2 linked regions of the Struthio camelus genome follow. Each later gene encodes a partner of the first gene's protein in a complex. Links are inferred from orthologs where the notes say so. Each region holds a gene or a part of one and is shown in the gene's direction. Other genes may lie near its edges.

What was found.
Region 2: the proteins of SLC9A3 (region 1) and CHP1 are in contact, whole or in part, in a cryo-EM structure (PDB 7X2U), measured with the Homo sapiens proteins. The link is inferred for Struthio camelus from reciprocal best matches to the Homo sapiens genes SLC9A3 and CHP1. Residues at the interface, in NP_004165.2 of Homo sapiens: Tyr396, Arg397, Met398, Gln400, Glu402, Arg474, Leu475, Asn476, Glu477, Leu479, His480, Gly481, Arg482, Ala483, Phe484, Asp485, His486, Ile487, Leu488, Ser489, Ala490, Ile491, Glu492, Asp493, Ile494, Ser495, Gly496, Gln497, Asn501, Arg504; in NP_009167.1 of Homo sapiens: Arg30, Leu31, Arg34, Leu38, Lys40, Glu49, Phe51, Gln52, Arg53, Ile54, Glu56, Leu57, Ala58, Ile59, Asn60, Pro61, Leu62, Asp64, Ile66, Phe70, Phe83, Leu87, Phe90, Leu115, Phe117, Ala118, Leu121, Tyr122, Leu135, Leu139.

Annotation. Positions count from the first base shown.
Region 1 is NC_090943.1:78,604,628-78,612,146, forward strand, and holds the start of SLC9A3 (sodium/hydrogen exchanger 3), read left to right. Parts: upstream 1-4,488; 5' UTR 4,489-4,624; coding exon 4,625-4,820; intron 4,821-7,519. UniProt on the Homo sapiens protein: Plasma membrane Na(+)/H(+) antiporter. Exchanges intracellular H(+) ions for extracellular Na(+) in 1:1 stoichiometry, playing a key role in salt and fluid absorption and pH homeostasis.
Region 2 is NC_090946.1:41,177,478-41,185,065, forward strand, and holds the start of CHP1 (calcineurin B homologous protein 1), read left to right. Parts: upstream 1-4,573; 5' UTR 4,574-4,588; coding exon 4,589-4,877; intron 4,878-7,588. Other genes in the region: piRNA biogenesis protein EXD1, read right to left, coding at 445-575, 2,135-2,186, 3,191-3,259, 4,072-4,279, 4,474-4,479. UniProt on the Homo sapiens protein: Calcium-binding protein involved in different processes such as regulation of vesicular trafficking, plasma membrane Na(+)/H(+) exchanger and gene transcription. Involved in the constitutive exocytic membrane traffic.

The DNA of each region.
Region 1 (7,519 bases):
AGACATTGAAACTAGTCTATTTCGCTGCTTTTGTTATTTAACATGTGCTTGTTTCTTCTTTAAGCAACTCACCTCTGTCTTGCCTTCCCTCCCAGGTTCAGCTACAGAAGGCTGAATACTGAAACAGTGCAGAGAGATGCACTTTTATTTCCTTTTTTACCAACTTAATGTCTGAAATCTGTGGTTGCGGCTTCTGTCACACTCCACTCCCCCCCCCCCTCGAGTTTTTGACATAGAGTAAAATAACAATTCCTTTTTAAAGACCAGCAAATACATACTCATTTAGGACTAAGCAAACTACTAGCGAGCTGCATCTTGTCACTGGTATATGCGTTTGTTTTGGTCTCGCTGATGTGAGCAGCTGGAAAAAAGGATATGTGGGGAAACATGACAAAGCTGAATTTGGACGGACAGAGAGTGAGGCACGTGGGAGATTTAAGGACTGGGATGAAAGTTCACACGCAAGTAGCCGTCGAGGGTTCTTTAGGTCTCAGAATTTGGGATTATTGGTGAGCACTGGCAGAAAAGATTTACGGAAAGAAAGGAGGGCAGAGGCCAGCAGTACGCAGAAACTGAACAGATAATGGGATGCCAAAAAAGGGAGGAGTGCGAAGGGTGCAATATGAGAGCGAAGGGAGGAGAGTGGAAGACGCAGATTGGCAGAGATGAAAACTCTGCAGTCTTAAAGTCTGGATTTAAGGATTATGCTTTGTTCTGCATTTGACCACTACCAAGCCCAGGAAAATTCTAACCCACAATAGAAAAATGGTCATTCAAATAGGAATTTAAATAAGGAGGAGTTTTTATGCAAATGACATTTTATAAAAGCATGTTTTTTCTGAACGTTGGATGATAAAATGTATTAGGTATCTGGTGTCAAAAAGACATGGTGCTAAAAATGGGTGATCTGGTTAAAAATGCCCTCTATTTTCTGTCCTTGAAAATTCAACTAGTCAGGTCTTGAAACGAGGCTTTGCATAAAAAAAAAAAAAAAATCAAGCAAGTTTCCTCTGCCATACCACTTTCCAGCCAAAGGAATCCACCCGTCTCTCCATCTGACTCACGCGCCCCCCACCGCCACCCCAGCCTTCTTCTTGCCCGCTTAAACTTGCGGCAATGTGCGTGGGTTGTAATAGTACATTGCTTCTCATAGCCATTTGAGAGGTTCATATTCATCATGCTGTAACATAATATTCTGCAACGCTACTCAGCTCAGCAACATTTGTCCGACTCTTTGTTGCACAAACTGGTACAGCTGCGCTCATTTCTCCAGGAGAGAAACTGGCACCATGTCAGTTGTTGCATCAAGTAGGTTTAACTATAAATTCATAAAGCTCTGCATTCATCTGCATATAACCCACATTACATTGATTTTCACGACGTAGTACAGCTATGTTGGTTCAATGCCATTCACAAGAATTAGTGTTCTTTTTAACTATTTAACTGTTGGTGGAATTAGGACATAAATATATTGTCCAGGACTATATTCCTTTCAAAATCTTACCTTACCTACTTACGTGTTTTGTAGGAGTTAATATGAAAACCGTACATTTCCTTGAGGGAAGTCAAGGATGGTAGTGAGTGATGGTCATTTATATTGTGGCAGGAGATTTTCACAGTTCATTTGCAGATTCTTCACTTGGATTTATTTGTTTTCTTTTACAGAAGTTCTGGGTTCCACAGGAACATATTTCTTAATTTCACTTCATTTAAACACAATTGTTTGCAAATGTCATCATTCAAATTTCTACCTCTGACTGTGGTTAGTACAACTGAAATTCTCAGCATATGCTTTCTAGAGAAAACTAATGTAATTTTAAAGATTCAAATTAATCTTTTTTATTGACATTATATTTAAAATAATCCCCAAGGGTTAATTCTTGCAACACACAGAGCATGTGAGGGGTGTATGAGATACTACTAATTGCATTCAAAAACCATAAGCAATTACTTACATAATATTCCCAGAAGTGACAATGTTGAAATTTTTTATTTAGAAAAAATCACTCAGGGGCTAGCCAGCATTTTATAATTCCTAGAAATAATCCTTTTGTAATATTTCAAAGCTCCTGTTTCTTATTTTGGAGAGTCAGGAAATATCAACTGTTGTGTAATAGATTTTTATGGCAAACATAGTACTGAAGCTCCTTCTATTTGTTGCTGATACAGAATGAAACTACGGGAAACTGCCTGAGGGCTTCCACAAAGGACCTTCAAGAATATAACATCTATGAATACATATATATATGCAAACTTATTATTTTAACAGAGGTTTGCTCTTAATGTGCAACTATACATTCTGTACATGGGCACATATATATTCAGTGGAATGGGCTTTTAACAGGTATTCGTGCACATGTCTGTGCTAAGATAATATTTCTAACATTTTTCCTGTTTGCTAATACTGCCTTAAGTCCACCAAGGTCAGGAAACCGAAAGCTTTCACGTAACTTAGTTTGTGCATTGCCACTGCTGCCATGAGTGGAGCACTCCCTAAGGACAACCAGAAGCATGCTCTTGGCTGTAGGTCCTCCAAGTGAGGTGTCAGCCTTCGCCTGTCTGTGGAAAGGGTCCACTGGAGGGTTTCTCATATTTTCTAGTGTAGCCGCAGGTATTCACGCTCTCTGGCCCATTTGTCCTACCATTGATTAGCTTCAACACTTTTAATAGGCAGGTTTATTTTTAACCCAGTTATCATTTTGATGGAACCAGATGTGAGAACGATCACGTACAGAAGCTGGAACCCTATAGCAGTTGTGGTGCCCTTTTATTAGCTGCAGCTAAAACAAGCTATTTGATTGTGGTGTGATGGAATAAACTGGGATACTAAGAAATGTGCTGATAGCTTGTATCCACTAAAATTCCCTTTTGGCAAATATCAGCAAACGGAACTGATGCTGACAGCGATGAACTGCTACTATCCACAGATCTCAGCAACTTAGGATACAGCGATGATCAGCAGCTACTTACTTCCTTCTAACCATAGTTTTCTCCACAATGGCAGTGCACAAAAATGTTATTCTATGATTGGCCAGAACCATTCCCAAAAACTTTTAAAAAACTAGAGCCCAAAGTCTCAAGGGCATTTAGGTATCCAACTCACATTTAGAAAAAGCTAGAAAAAAGAAAAGATGGTATTTTAGTTGTTAGGCACCAAAACGTTATTTGGCTACAACATTTCCTAAATGTAAAAGGAGTGTGTTGCTGTCTATCCTGCTTCCTAATAAATTGCCAATTCCGTCTTCAGACTGGCTCCTAGTCTAAAAAAAACTCCACATAATTTTCTTTCCCTTAAATAACGAAGAAATAGAGGAAATAAAAAACACAAGGTATGTGATTGTTTGACGAGAGGCATCAGGGCAAGCCTGGCACTTGCTTTGAGGTTATAACTGAATCTTCAGTGCATTAACTTAGCAGAACTTTGCTCCTCGAGTTCCTTAGCTAAATGAGATTATAATGTGATAATGATGGACACTCTTTGTAACAATGACATTCTATGCAAATTTATTGTTTTAATTGACCAGTTAATTGATTTATAGAGTGCCTGTGCAGGCTTTTAACATAGTTCATCTAGGCTTCGAAAAGGTATCTTGTTTTTATCCCAGGTGATTAAAATAATCAAAACTGCTTCTTTATCTTCTGAACATTTTGCAGGAGAGTTTATCAGGTTCGGTTTTTGAACTCTAAGAAAAAAAACAACCAAATTCAAAAAAAAAAAAACCACAGAAAAACAGCTCTCGGGTAAGGAAAGTGAGCAGGTAGTATTTTTCCACCGAGAGTCACATAGGCAGCAGACCGCACGTGTGGCAGCCGGGTTGCTGCAGCGCAGCCGGGGCAGCCGGGCGCTGCAGCCGCTGCTGCCTGCGGAAGGGCGCGCGGAGCTGCGCTTGCCGGGGGCGCACGGGGGCACGGACGGCGCGGGGTGGGGGGGTGATTGCCCCGGCTCCTCCGGCCTGCAGCGCAAGCGAGAGCGGGCAGGTGGGGTCAGCGAGAAAGAAGGCTGGGGGGGGGGGGGGGGGGAAGTGCCAAACTCCGAAAGACTCCGCGTTGTAAGCACGCAGAAGAGCAGGCGAAGCAGCCGCAGGCAGCGCGTCTCACGCAGCACAGCTGAGCAAAACCAAACCAAGCAACCAACCCCCGAAAGCAGACCTAAGCATGCAGCCAAGCCCTGCCTGCTGCTACCAGCTGCCCTAGCACCTGGTGGAGAGCGTGCCCGCGGGTGGACCGGGGAAAGGGTTGGGCTGAGGGACGGTGGGATCCCCTGCCCGCTCGCCGCCGGGCGCCCCTGGCCGGGGCGATGCCGGCGGCAGCGCCGCAGCCCCCCCCCCCCGCCGCCCCGCAGCGCGGCGCCGCTGCCCAGGCGCCCAGCGGCAGCAGCAGCGGCGGCGGCGGCTCCGCGGGTGCGGCGGCGAAGCTCCGCCCCCGGCGCTCGCGGGGGCGGGGGGGGGCAGCCGCATAAAGGCAGGTGCGGGCGGCCGGCTGGCCCCGCCGCGGAGCATCCGCCGGCGCGCAGAGAGCCCCTCCGTGGCCGCCCCGTCCAGGCGCGCATGCTGCCGCTCCGCGGAGCACGGAGGCTGGGTTTCCGCGGGCCGCGCTGCAAGGGCTCTCGCTACGCGGCCGGGAGATGGGGCAGGCGCCCCGCCTGGGGCTGCTTCTGGGGCTGATGGCGCTGCCGGCGGCGCTGGGGCAGCGGAGCTCGGGCAGCCCTATAAATAGCAGCCAGCCTCAGACCTTCGCCGTCGTCTCTTTCAAGTGGGATCACGTCAAGGACCCCTATGTCATTACACTCTGGGTACTTGTGGCCAGCTTGGCCAAAATCGGTGAGTCCGGAGTTATATCTTAATGCATACCTCCTCTCCTCCTCCCCTCCCCTTCCCCTTCTCCCACCCCACGTAAATGAAGAAAGCTTATCGTAAGTCCACTGACCCGTTTTCAGGGGTTTTACTGTACTCTGTCCTGATTTCATAACACTGCCCTCCGCTGTGCTGAGCAGTGTGCTCTTCACCCGCCGCGGCGGGTTACCCGGTTCGCCTGCAGCGCCGGGGGCGGCGGAGCTGCCGCCGGCTCCGTGCGGGGCCGCGCGTCCCCTGAAGCCCTGCCTCGCTGCCCCCCGGGGCCGGCTGGCCGCCGAAGCGAGGCGCAAATCGCGCCTTGCTGCTCTAGCCGGTGGTCCGCCGTCCTCCCCAGGGTGGTCGGTGGTTACGCTGGCCAGCGCTGTCCCGAGCCACGCTGACCCGAAGTGAGCAGCCTCTGCTCTGCCGAGCGATGTTTGCAGGAGAATGAGAAAACAGAGTTTGCAGGGGAGGGTAATATGTTCTGTCAGGCCCTATCATACAGCTGAAGGAAGGCAGACTTCAGAGCGCGCAGGGTTTTCCTCGAGCGAGTAGAGTGAGTGAAAAGCAAGGGCTCAGCGAGCGGAGTAGGAGTAAACTTAGGTCTGCTCCAGCTCCTGTGTTCTGAACCTCACGGCTCTGCCAAAAGCAGTCTTAACGTTAATAAGCCTCCAAAAGCAGTGTCAGCTCAGAAGGCATTATCAGCTGAAAATCATGCAAATGCTTTTCTGTACTTGTATTGATAATAATATCTGGAGATACCGGAATCATCTTCCACAGATTTCGCATGTCACACAGAATCAATGATGTAAATGGACAGCACAGGTATACCGTTTCTAACGCATAAGTTAAGTGCGATAAGGTTTGGGTGGAAAGTGCTGTCTCCAAATGCAAATAAAGCCTAATAAAACTTTCTTTTTTAAATCAGGGGAGGTTATTAACAGGTGATCTTGTAAAACAGGTTTTCTTACTGACACCTACATCCTGGGCTCCAACTGTTTAACTGTACATATATAACTTTAATATCTTTATCTGGTTTACTATTGGGCTATATCTTGAAACTACTTTATGTTCACATGGCTGATGCATTAATGAGATTATATGAAAATATAATTATGATTTAATTGACTTTTACTGATGGGCTGTATCAACTAGAAAGATAAGGGAACCAAATATAGAGGGAAAAAGGGTGACAATGTTGATTCCCTGTAGATTTGTGCTAAAACACAATTTTCTGGTTTGAATCTCCCTTTCGAGATATTATAAGTTAATATTTGCCTCTGTTATTAAGGTTTGACTGCTTTGTGTATGTGCCACTGCTGTACACAGTAGTATTTGTGCTGCACAGCATATCAGTGTTGTGGCAGAAACACTATGCAGCTAACAGGGCTGTGAGATTGTCCTGTATTTAAATTGCAATGGCCTGGATTAAGATGAGCCTGGATTAAGATGAGCCATTTTACCATGAAGTACTCAGTATACTTATAAACACCTGATAAAGTACTAAGTGTTCTTGGATTTTGTGCAGCATTTACTTCAGAAGTAAGAAGTTCAGGAACTGAATGTCACTGGTTCTATTTTTAAATTATTTGCACTCCTTTCACAGCTGCACAGAGCATGTCACCTGCTGGTAGGCAGCATCTATCATTTTCTGCATCAGTTTCCTTCTCCAAAGCTCTCAGACTTCATTCTCTCCTCTCTTTGCATTCGTAATTGTAATACTGTACTCCTCTGGCCATAGTCTCTGCAGAAGCAGTGGACAACTGCTGTGCTCTACTGAGAGCCTGTGAATGCCCCTGGTTTCCCCACTAGCCACAAATAAAATACAGATGAGCAGAAGTGTACACTTGTTGGTCAACAGCTGGTTGATGCAGAAAGCATGGAGGGGTCCATACAACCCAACAGGAAAGGGCACTGAAGGACAAGGAAGCCTGTCAGCCTCCTACCAGCCAGGTGTGTCAAGGGCTTTGGAAAGTAGACCAGAAATCAATTAGAAGACTTTTTTTTTGAAGAGGAAAAATGCCAAGACCAAGAAGATCCATCGATTCCAAAAGCAGATGTAAGAGAACCAAGGAAGAAAACTCAGAACATCTGCCCCTGTGTATCCTGGTTTGCCAGCTGGTGGGGGTGGGGGTGCGGGGGAAGGCAGCAGAGCTGAGCCACAGCCTTTGCTGTGTGTTATTCAGCAGGATGAGGGGCACTTCTCACCTATTCAGGCTCACTCATCTGTAGCTGCAGAGGATGGTAGAGATATTTTACTGGTGGATAGGTTTGATGGCAATTGGGTTAGCAAAAGGTCTTCTGGGAGCTGCAGCAACTTGACCTATTATTGGAAGCTGGGAATGAAAATTGAGAGGATTTTACCTTCTTTTGCGTTAGGAGAACCTTAGTTTTTATTTTTTCTGAGTAAAATTGGTTCATTCCATTATGTTATATGGCTTTGGGGAGAGTACATTTAATAGGAGATTCATGCGGCTCTACTGAGTCTTGATATTCCTGTTGTATACATATAGAATGGAAATTAGTACTGACATTTATGTTCTGTAACATAAACTATTGTTTATGAAATCTTCTAAGCATCCAAAATGTGCAAAGAAACACCTAGTGTTTTGGGCTTTGTGGAAAAGAAGCCTTTCTTTTTTATTCCTCTTGTTTTTCTTTTCCCTTCCTGCTTGTGAAGGATACTT
Region 2 (7,588 bases), on another chromosome or scaffold:
AGGAACCAGACAACCAAATCTGTGGAAGCACCTTCAGAGTGTAACAGCCAGCACAGGACCAAAGAGCAATAGCCTAAATGAGCTTTGGGCTATCTGTCATGCTACATACATGTGAGGAACAAATAAAGGATTAAATCACAACAGAAGAACACTGACTGACTGAAGTACTTTAACTTCTTGAAAAGATAAGCTACACTGCTCAGCCACTTGTATAGTTGATGAAAACTACAGGATAAACATTCTGGAAAGCAGACGAGTTTCTTTCTGACGCTGCGGACGTGTCCACAGCCTAGTGAGCTCTGGGCCATCTGCGACCATTGCTCTTTCAGAGCAAAGCCTGCCCTGATAACCGGCAAGCCCTAGGAGTATGAAGGGATAACAGCCTCTGGGAAAGGTTTTGTCTGACAAAGACAAACTATATTGCTTGACTAATAGCCACGTTACCTGAAAGACAGTTTTTTAAGCTATTCCAGGCTCTCAGCTGGTTCTCTAAGGAAATGCAAGAACTCCATGGGCCACAATATGCCGATCTGCCTGTATCTGCTTCTGTGTTCCCTTCAAGAGCTGAAGTACACCTGCAGAAGCAAGGGGGAGACCACACACAGTACAGAAGGCCACACATAACACCTCATTTTGCCAGCATGAATGTTCTAATAAATACTTCATCCAGCACCATCTACCTGCTGTAAGACAACAAACTGCTGTATTTGAAGCAACCTCCCAGTCCACTACACATGTTTCTTAAAGGGGATCTTGAAGCTACCCAACCAGAAGTTTATTTTGCCCCGGGCATTTATTTCGGATAAAATTTCAGTTTTATTCCTGAAAAAAGCAGAAAGTGGGAGCCCAACCTGAAAAAATATTTGCTGCAAAGGTCAGTAATGAAGTCTGAGAGGAGAAAGAGCTCAAAGCACAAACAACTTCAAGAATGAGGTACCTGACCTGAGCCCAAACACCATATAATTTAAATATTTTTAAATCTTCATGTTGAATCAAAAACATTAGATAAATTATTTAAATATTATGATTAGGAGGGTGTTTTTACAAAAGTCCATAAATACATAAAACAGTTATATCAACTGAAACTTTCCCATTATCAAATGGAAGTTATTAAGTAAGTACTGAAACAGTGGCATATCACAATCAAAAAGATAAAACAGTTAGTATCAACCATTCACCTTACAGAAACACGCCCCATATAAGATGCTTCATTCTTACAACAGAAGACAGTCTGATTAAAGCATACTTTATGAGGAAGGATGCCCTATTAGTATATATTCCTTTATACTGATATAAAAACATCCCATTATTATACAGATCCAGCCATGTATGTCCCTATGTCAATACAGGGAAACATAAATAACTTTCCAACCAGCCCTTAGATATAGGTGAAGAATCTTGTATCTAACATTTTATATTTAATGGATTAACACAGAAATAAATCTCCTAGAAAAATTAGCATATTTAAGTGTATGTATTCACACGTAAGGAGAGAGACAGCAGCAGGGGAGAAGACTGCTGCTTTCAACAAATATACGTGCTGTCTAACCGTATTTTAAAGAACTTTCAGTAGACGCCACGTCATTCCTACTTCTTTTAACAGGAAAAGTAAACTAATGAAATGTGGTCTTGTGAAAAGACTCAACGCACAGCCATCTAACAGCAGGGGTCTGCAGGAGTTCAAAGCAGAGAAACATACTTTTACCTGCTTCCCAAAATTACGTTTATATACATTTGAAAGCATCTGCTTAAACCTAACCCGCCTGTGCAACTGTTCAGGAACTGTTCAGGCACAGAAGAAACGCTCATGGGAAATTCTCCTTGAGACAACAAGCTGACTGGAAAAAAAAAAAAAAAAGGAAAAAAACAACCTCAGCAAGTTATTCTACCTAGGAAACTAAGGGGCAGTGGGCAGAGATAAGGAGTAGTAATAGCTTGAAAGAATCTTTTAAAACAGCAGAGGCTTTCCGCTCATCACCTTCTCACTTCTTTAGAGCACAAAAACACAATCTTGGCATAGCTGAGTCAGAACATTGATAAGATACAAAATGCAGGTGCTGGCTGGCCTAGCAAGTGCAGTCCCACCCTTTCTCCTATTGTGAAGGAAATAAACAAATAAAACATTTCAACATACTCGGAGAGTGTTGCTGTTCCCTTCTCTGAACCTGGTTCATCCAGCAATTCCACTGTAATAGAAATAAATAGTTTATACTCTAGCACTAACAAGCAACTTCCTAACACTCATTTTCCCCCAAAACGAAGAGTCCAAACTGATACTAACCAGCAGACTTGCACAAAAGAAAATGGACTCAAAACATAGCTTAAATAAAAATAATTCACTCTGATGTACAATTCTGTAAAAATTAACTTATATCACTAGCCTAGATGAGATCTATTTCAGAACTGTAGCATTTAAGCAAAACTAATTCATGGTTTACCATCCTTTCAAAGACACAAAGTCAATATCAAACTACAACTTATTACTTTACAGACTATTACTACAAAACAGCTACATGGAAAAAGATAGAATGGACATAGTTAAGCACTTAAGTCTGATAAAGACTTGTAAAGAGCCTTCTAGCTCTTTCCCACCACTACTTTGCTCTTTGTCCCCAAAGCAAAGCTTAGCACCTGCAGCAGAAACGCACAGGACCATCATGCACTACAAACATTTTTCTTAAATAATTCCGTATTTTTACCACTAATGAATCACAGAAAGAGGGTCAGATAAAACAGAGCACTTAACAGAGATGCTTTTCATCTCTGCAAGTGAATGCAAAAAAACAAGTCAATCAGAATCCCTGTTTTCAGGGATTTAACTTCCCAGGGGAGTCCATCACTGAGTCTTCCATATATAAGAACATAGACATTGAATGTAACCTGCCTTTAAGAAGCACACAGGATGCATGCATATCTCAACTGGCCTTACTGGACTTTATTCATTATTTAACTCAAAAGCTTTAAGGCAGTACAGTCACGAGACCTTCATAAGGCATGGAATTACTATTATTTTATAGAAGATAACTGGGGAACAGAGAAGTTCCGCGACTTTGACAATGTTCTCATTCCTAGGGATTTTGGGGAAAAGTTGTGCAACTGAAGAATTCAGCAGAGCGTCCACAATTAGATTAAAAAGCGCTAAGAGCAGCCATGATCCCTGTGCCTTAATATGCACTAAGAAAGGCTTCACCATTGACTATTTCAGGGCCAAAAAACATCTTTGCTCCCGGGGCACTTCTGCCAGTGTCCAAGTTCTTCACTGAAATGAAAAAGAAAAACAATCCATCATGTTCCACTGTTAGGAATAAAAGCTTATCCTTTGCAAAACAAAACAAGACCTTAGGGCTGATTAGCTCTACTAATTCCACCTGAAAAAAAAAAAAAAGCAACAAGTCAGGTCTCAATAACAAGTTTTTTACTCAACAGAAGAGTGCTTCCACAAAGTGATTGTGTACACCTAGTAGGACCAAGTTATGATCTTTTACACCCACATGATCTAAACAACTGAGAGCATAATTCGAGGCACCTTTTACCTTAAGTAGATGCTTTATTTATCCCAGTGACTGGGCTTGGCTCTCAGAAAGCACATACCGATGCTAGGCTGTGTACAACTAGCAGCAGGCACGCTCTGCGTGGGAGCCTGCACACACTAGCTCTAAATGGTTTCTGCATGGCATTAGCATGGTTATTTTTAGACTTTTGAAAGTTCAGCCACTTAGTAACTAGAGTGCCACAGACCCTAGTTAAGATATAATTTTTTTTAAGGCTGAGCAAGATGCCAGTACACCACTGCCCTTCCCCCATAAGGCTGCCTCCACGCAGATTTAGCTTACTCGCAAGGGTGGGGGGAAAAAAACGAGGGGCGGTTACAGTGCTTTTTGAACATGGAGCTCAGACTTTTACGCGCAGCACTCTGGAAGGTGACGAGCAACTCGCAGCCTCAGCCAACCCCACGAGGGGCGGGGGGCTGCTAACGGCCCAACGGCCGCAGGGGCGCCCCCGCCCCGCCCCGGCCGGGCCGGGCGCGCCGGCGGCGCTGCGGGGCTGCCTGCCTGCCGGCCCGGCCCCGACCTGTCCGCAGGAGCAGGCTCCGGTCGGGGTTCACGTGCTGCAGCACCCCTTGGAAAACGCCACATTTTAAGGTGATTTTGACGGTTCTCCCCAGGATGGCACCGAAGTGCTCGCTGCTGAGGGCCATGCGGCAGCCGGCGGCGGTGGCAGGCGGCGGCAGCACGGACGGGGTCCCCCGGCGCGGCCAGCCGGGCTCCTCACGGGGCACCTACGGCACGGAGCAAGGAACGGGGCTGAAGGCCTGGGCCGGCCGCGGCAGCGCGCAGCGCCCCCACAGAGCCGAGAGGCGGCGGGCGCTCGCCTCACCGCCGCGGAGAGCCGAGCTGCGGCCCCGCCCCGCGGGGCGGAGCCACCATAGCCCCTACCCAATCGCCGGGGGAGGGCCGAGCGCGCGCAGCTTACCGCCATGACGTTCCGGAGGAGGGATTGGGGGGGGGATAAGGAATTACAGCTGCTTCGCGCAGTGCACGCCGGGAGCAGCAGGCGGCCTGCGGCTCAGCTTTAGCAGCCGCCCGCGATGACGTCAGAGGCGGGCGCGTGCCCGCTCGTTGGCGGGGCGTCGCTCTGCGCGTGCGCCCGCGGGTTGGCCCACGGGGGCGGGGCGGGGGCGGGCTGGCCTTTCGCTGAACCGCCGCTGCTGCTGACGGGTGCGTGTCGTTGTCCGGTTCGGCCCGGTACGGCGCGGAGCGGAGCGGAGCAGAGCGGAGCGCGGCTCGGCGGCCCTGCCCGTGCGGCGGCGATGGGGTCTCGGGCGTCCACGCTGCTGCGGGACGAGGAGATCGAGGAGATCAAGAAGGAGACGGGCTGTGAGCGTGGGGCCGAGCGGGCGGGTGTCCGGAGCGGGGCAGCGGCCCGTCCCTCCGGCCGGGAAGCGTCTCGGCCGGCTGCCCCGCCGTCTGCGTCGCGCCCGGGCAGGGGGCACACCCTGGGGCGGGGGGGAGGCGAGCGCGGCCCCTGCGCTGCCGGTGGGGCAGTGCCCGGTCGCACCAGGCCCCGGGCTGGCTGCGGGGAGGTACCTCTCGGTCGGCGAGCGCCCCGGGGCCTCGCGGGGCGGAGAGGGGCTGTACTGCGGCGGCGGGAGCGGGCGAAAGGCGGGGGGAAGCAATGCACTTGGTACCTGCCGTGATCTTTGCTCTGTTGCTTTGGGTTTTGAAGAGTTGCCTGTGTTTCTGGCTCTAGAGTTTCTCTCAAGCAGCTGTTTCAGCCTAATGAGCCGCTCTGGAGAAGCTCTCATTGTATAGTACGCTTTTTCCCCAAGTGCTATTTGCGAAATGGGCTATCGCTAAAGATGCCTTAAGGATACTCCGAATGAATGCTTGAGCGACATTTAAAACGTATAGGAAATAATGTAACCTGTAAGAGTTGGGTATGGTTAATCTGGAAAAAAAAAAAAGTGAAAATTCCTGTCTTAATCAAGAAATAGGACAGCATTATCCTAACTGGATAATGCTATGTAGCTAGTTTATCCTGTAGTGTTATATTGAGTTTTCTCTAAATATAAAGACAAGGTAAAACTTAGGACTTTGTTTTGTTAATTTGGCTGATTACAATGATTGCCAATTTGAGAATGATAGTGAATGATGGCATATGTAGGACACCCTTAGCAGGAAAGAAGAGGGTGTGGCATCCTAGGTGTCACCTTGCTTTTTTTTTCCTTGGGTGTGTGTGGTGTTTTTTTTTTTTCCCCGCCTTCCTGTACGGAAACAAGGTCTTCCTAGATCACGCTTATTTCCTACTTGCACTTGCTGATCTGCCCTTGATACCTGAAAACACTTTACCTCTTCAGTGTAAATGTTGTCACGTATTCATTTTAGATGATAGTTTATCTGTGCCAGGAAAACAAATGAATCCAGAGAGGGAGTACAAGAAAACTGAGACGGTACTGGCCAGTATGACAGGCAGCTGAGTTAGCATACTTTCCATGATCTTTTTTCTGTCGATCAAGGGAACTTCTACAGCATCGTTATGATAAACAAGTAGGAGTTTAAGAGTCTGCTTGTCCAGCAAGAAAGTACTCTGTGATCCTTTTAAAAAATAAAGATAAAAGTAAAGGTAGCCTCCTACTAAAGAGGTTTTAAACAAACTCCAGATCCGGAATACTCTTCCAAAAGACTTAACTTTTTTGTTTCCTCTGCTCCAGTATTTGCTTTATCAGTGGTGTTTCATTCCTAGATTTTTAGATGATTGATGGTTAAATAAATATGATTAGGGTAACTATGTAGATGATCTAAGTGATAAGCCCACCTGGAGCCAGTAGAGATCCTGTTGTAGTTAGCCCCTAAAAGCTTTTTTTATATGTTTTTAAAGTGTGAAACTTAAAGACTGTGGCCAGCAGGTGTAAGCTTTGTGACCTGAATTTGGCTAATCTGCCTTTTTTTTTTTTTTTTTTTTACTATTCACATTTATGTGCAGTGTTGTAAAATACAGCATTATTAATCAAGCATTGCTAATCTTCTTATGCCTGTTTGTAAGTTGTCATAGAGTATCTGTTTTGGGGCTTTATCAGTCTTTCTCTTTTTTTCCCTGCATGTAACCATATGATTCTCCTCTGCCTTTTGTAGTTCTTTAGATTAGGCTTTAGGTAGCACAGTCATAACCTTTGCATAGGTGCAAATATCTGTGCAAGGTGCAAGATGGGGAAAAACCAGACTGGATTATTTGGAACAGAGTTCACTGGAAGAATGCTAAGCCAGTGTCACTGAGTAGAGTATCCTACAATTTGTTAGAAACTCGATACTGATGGTACTTCACCTACTGAAGAGTTTGAGAAAGGGACTTAATGAAAGGAAAACTATTTGGCAGGACTGAATGTCCATCTTGAACTAATGTTCTGGTAAGCACTTCTAAGGATTCTTTCTTTTCTGGGGGATTCCTTACTGTGAAACAACTTTTCCAGTTCATTTTGGGTAAGTGCAAATGCATGAACAGAACACTTAACCTATTGGAAGGTGTTGAACTATGGAAGTATATAACTCCTCTCTTCCTTAATTTTTAAATAGCACAAAACTGAACAGCTAATGACACTGATAGGAGTGATAAATCATATGTTAATGGTCTTTAGCTGAGCAGATTAAAAAAAAATCTTTGAAGGGAATTTGTAGCAGTCTTTCAGAAGCCATACGCTGACGCTTAGAAATATCTTGGATGAAATCTAAGTTGTGATTCAGGTTCTATATTGCTTGTCTTTTTAATTGTGGTGGAAAAAGACACTTTTTAGCATATTAAGTTTAGAAACATGTATAAAAGTAATGCTTCCGAGAACTGACAAGTATGTATTTGCTTGTAAAGCCTTTGCTTAGTGGCAGATAATCTGCAGTAGGTACTCAGTAACGGGAGTTGAGCATCAAGTTGACAGTCCTAAATATTACATGATGTTTTGCAGAATTTGTTTGCTGTGCATATAAACATTCTGAAATTAGAGTTTGAAAAAACATTCAAGTAGTCCTAATTGCTCTTATATTTTAGTAACCACTAAAAGAAGTCGATGAAAGTTCCTAGATGTTACTTGTCAGCATTC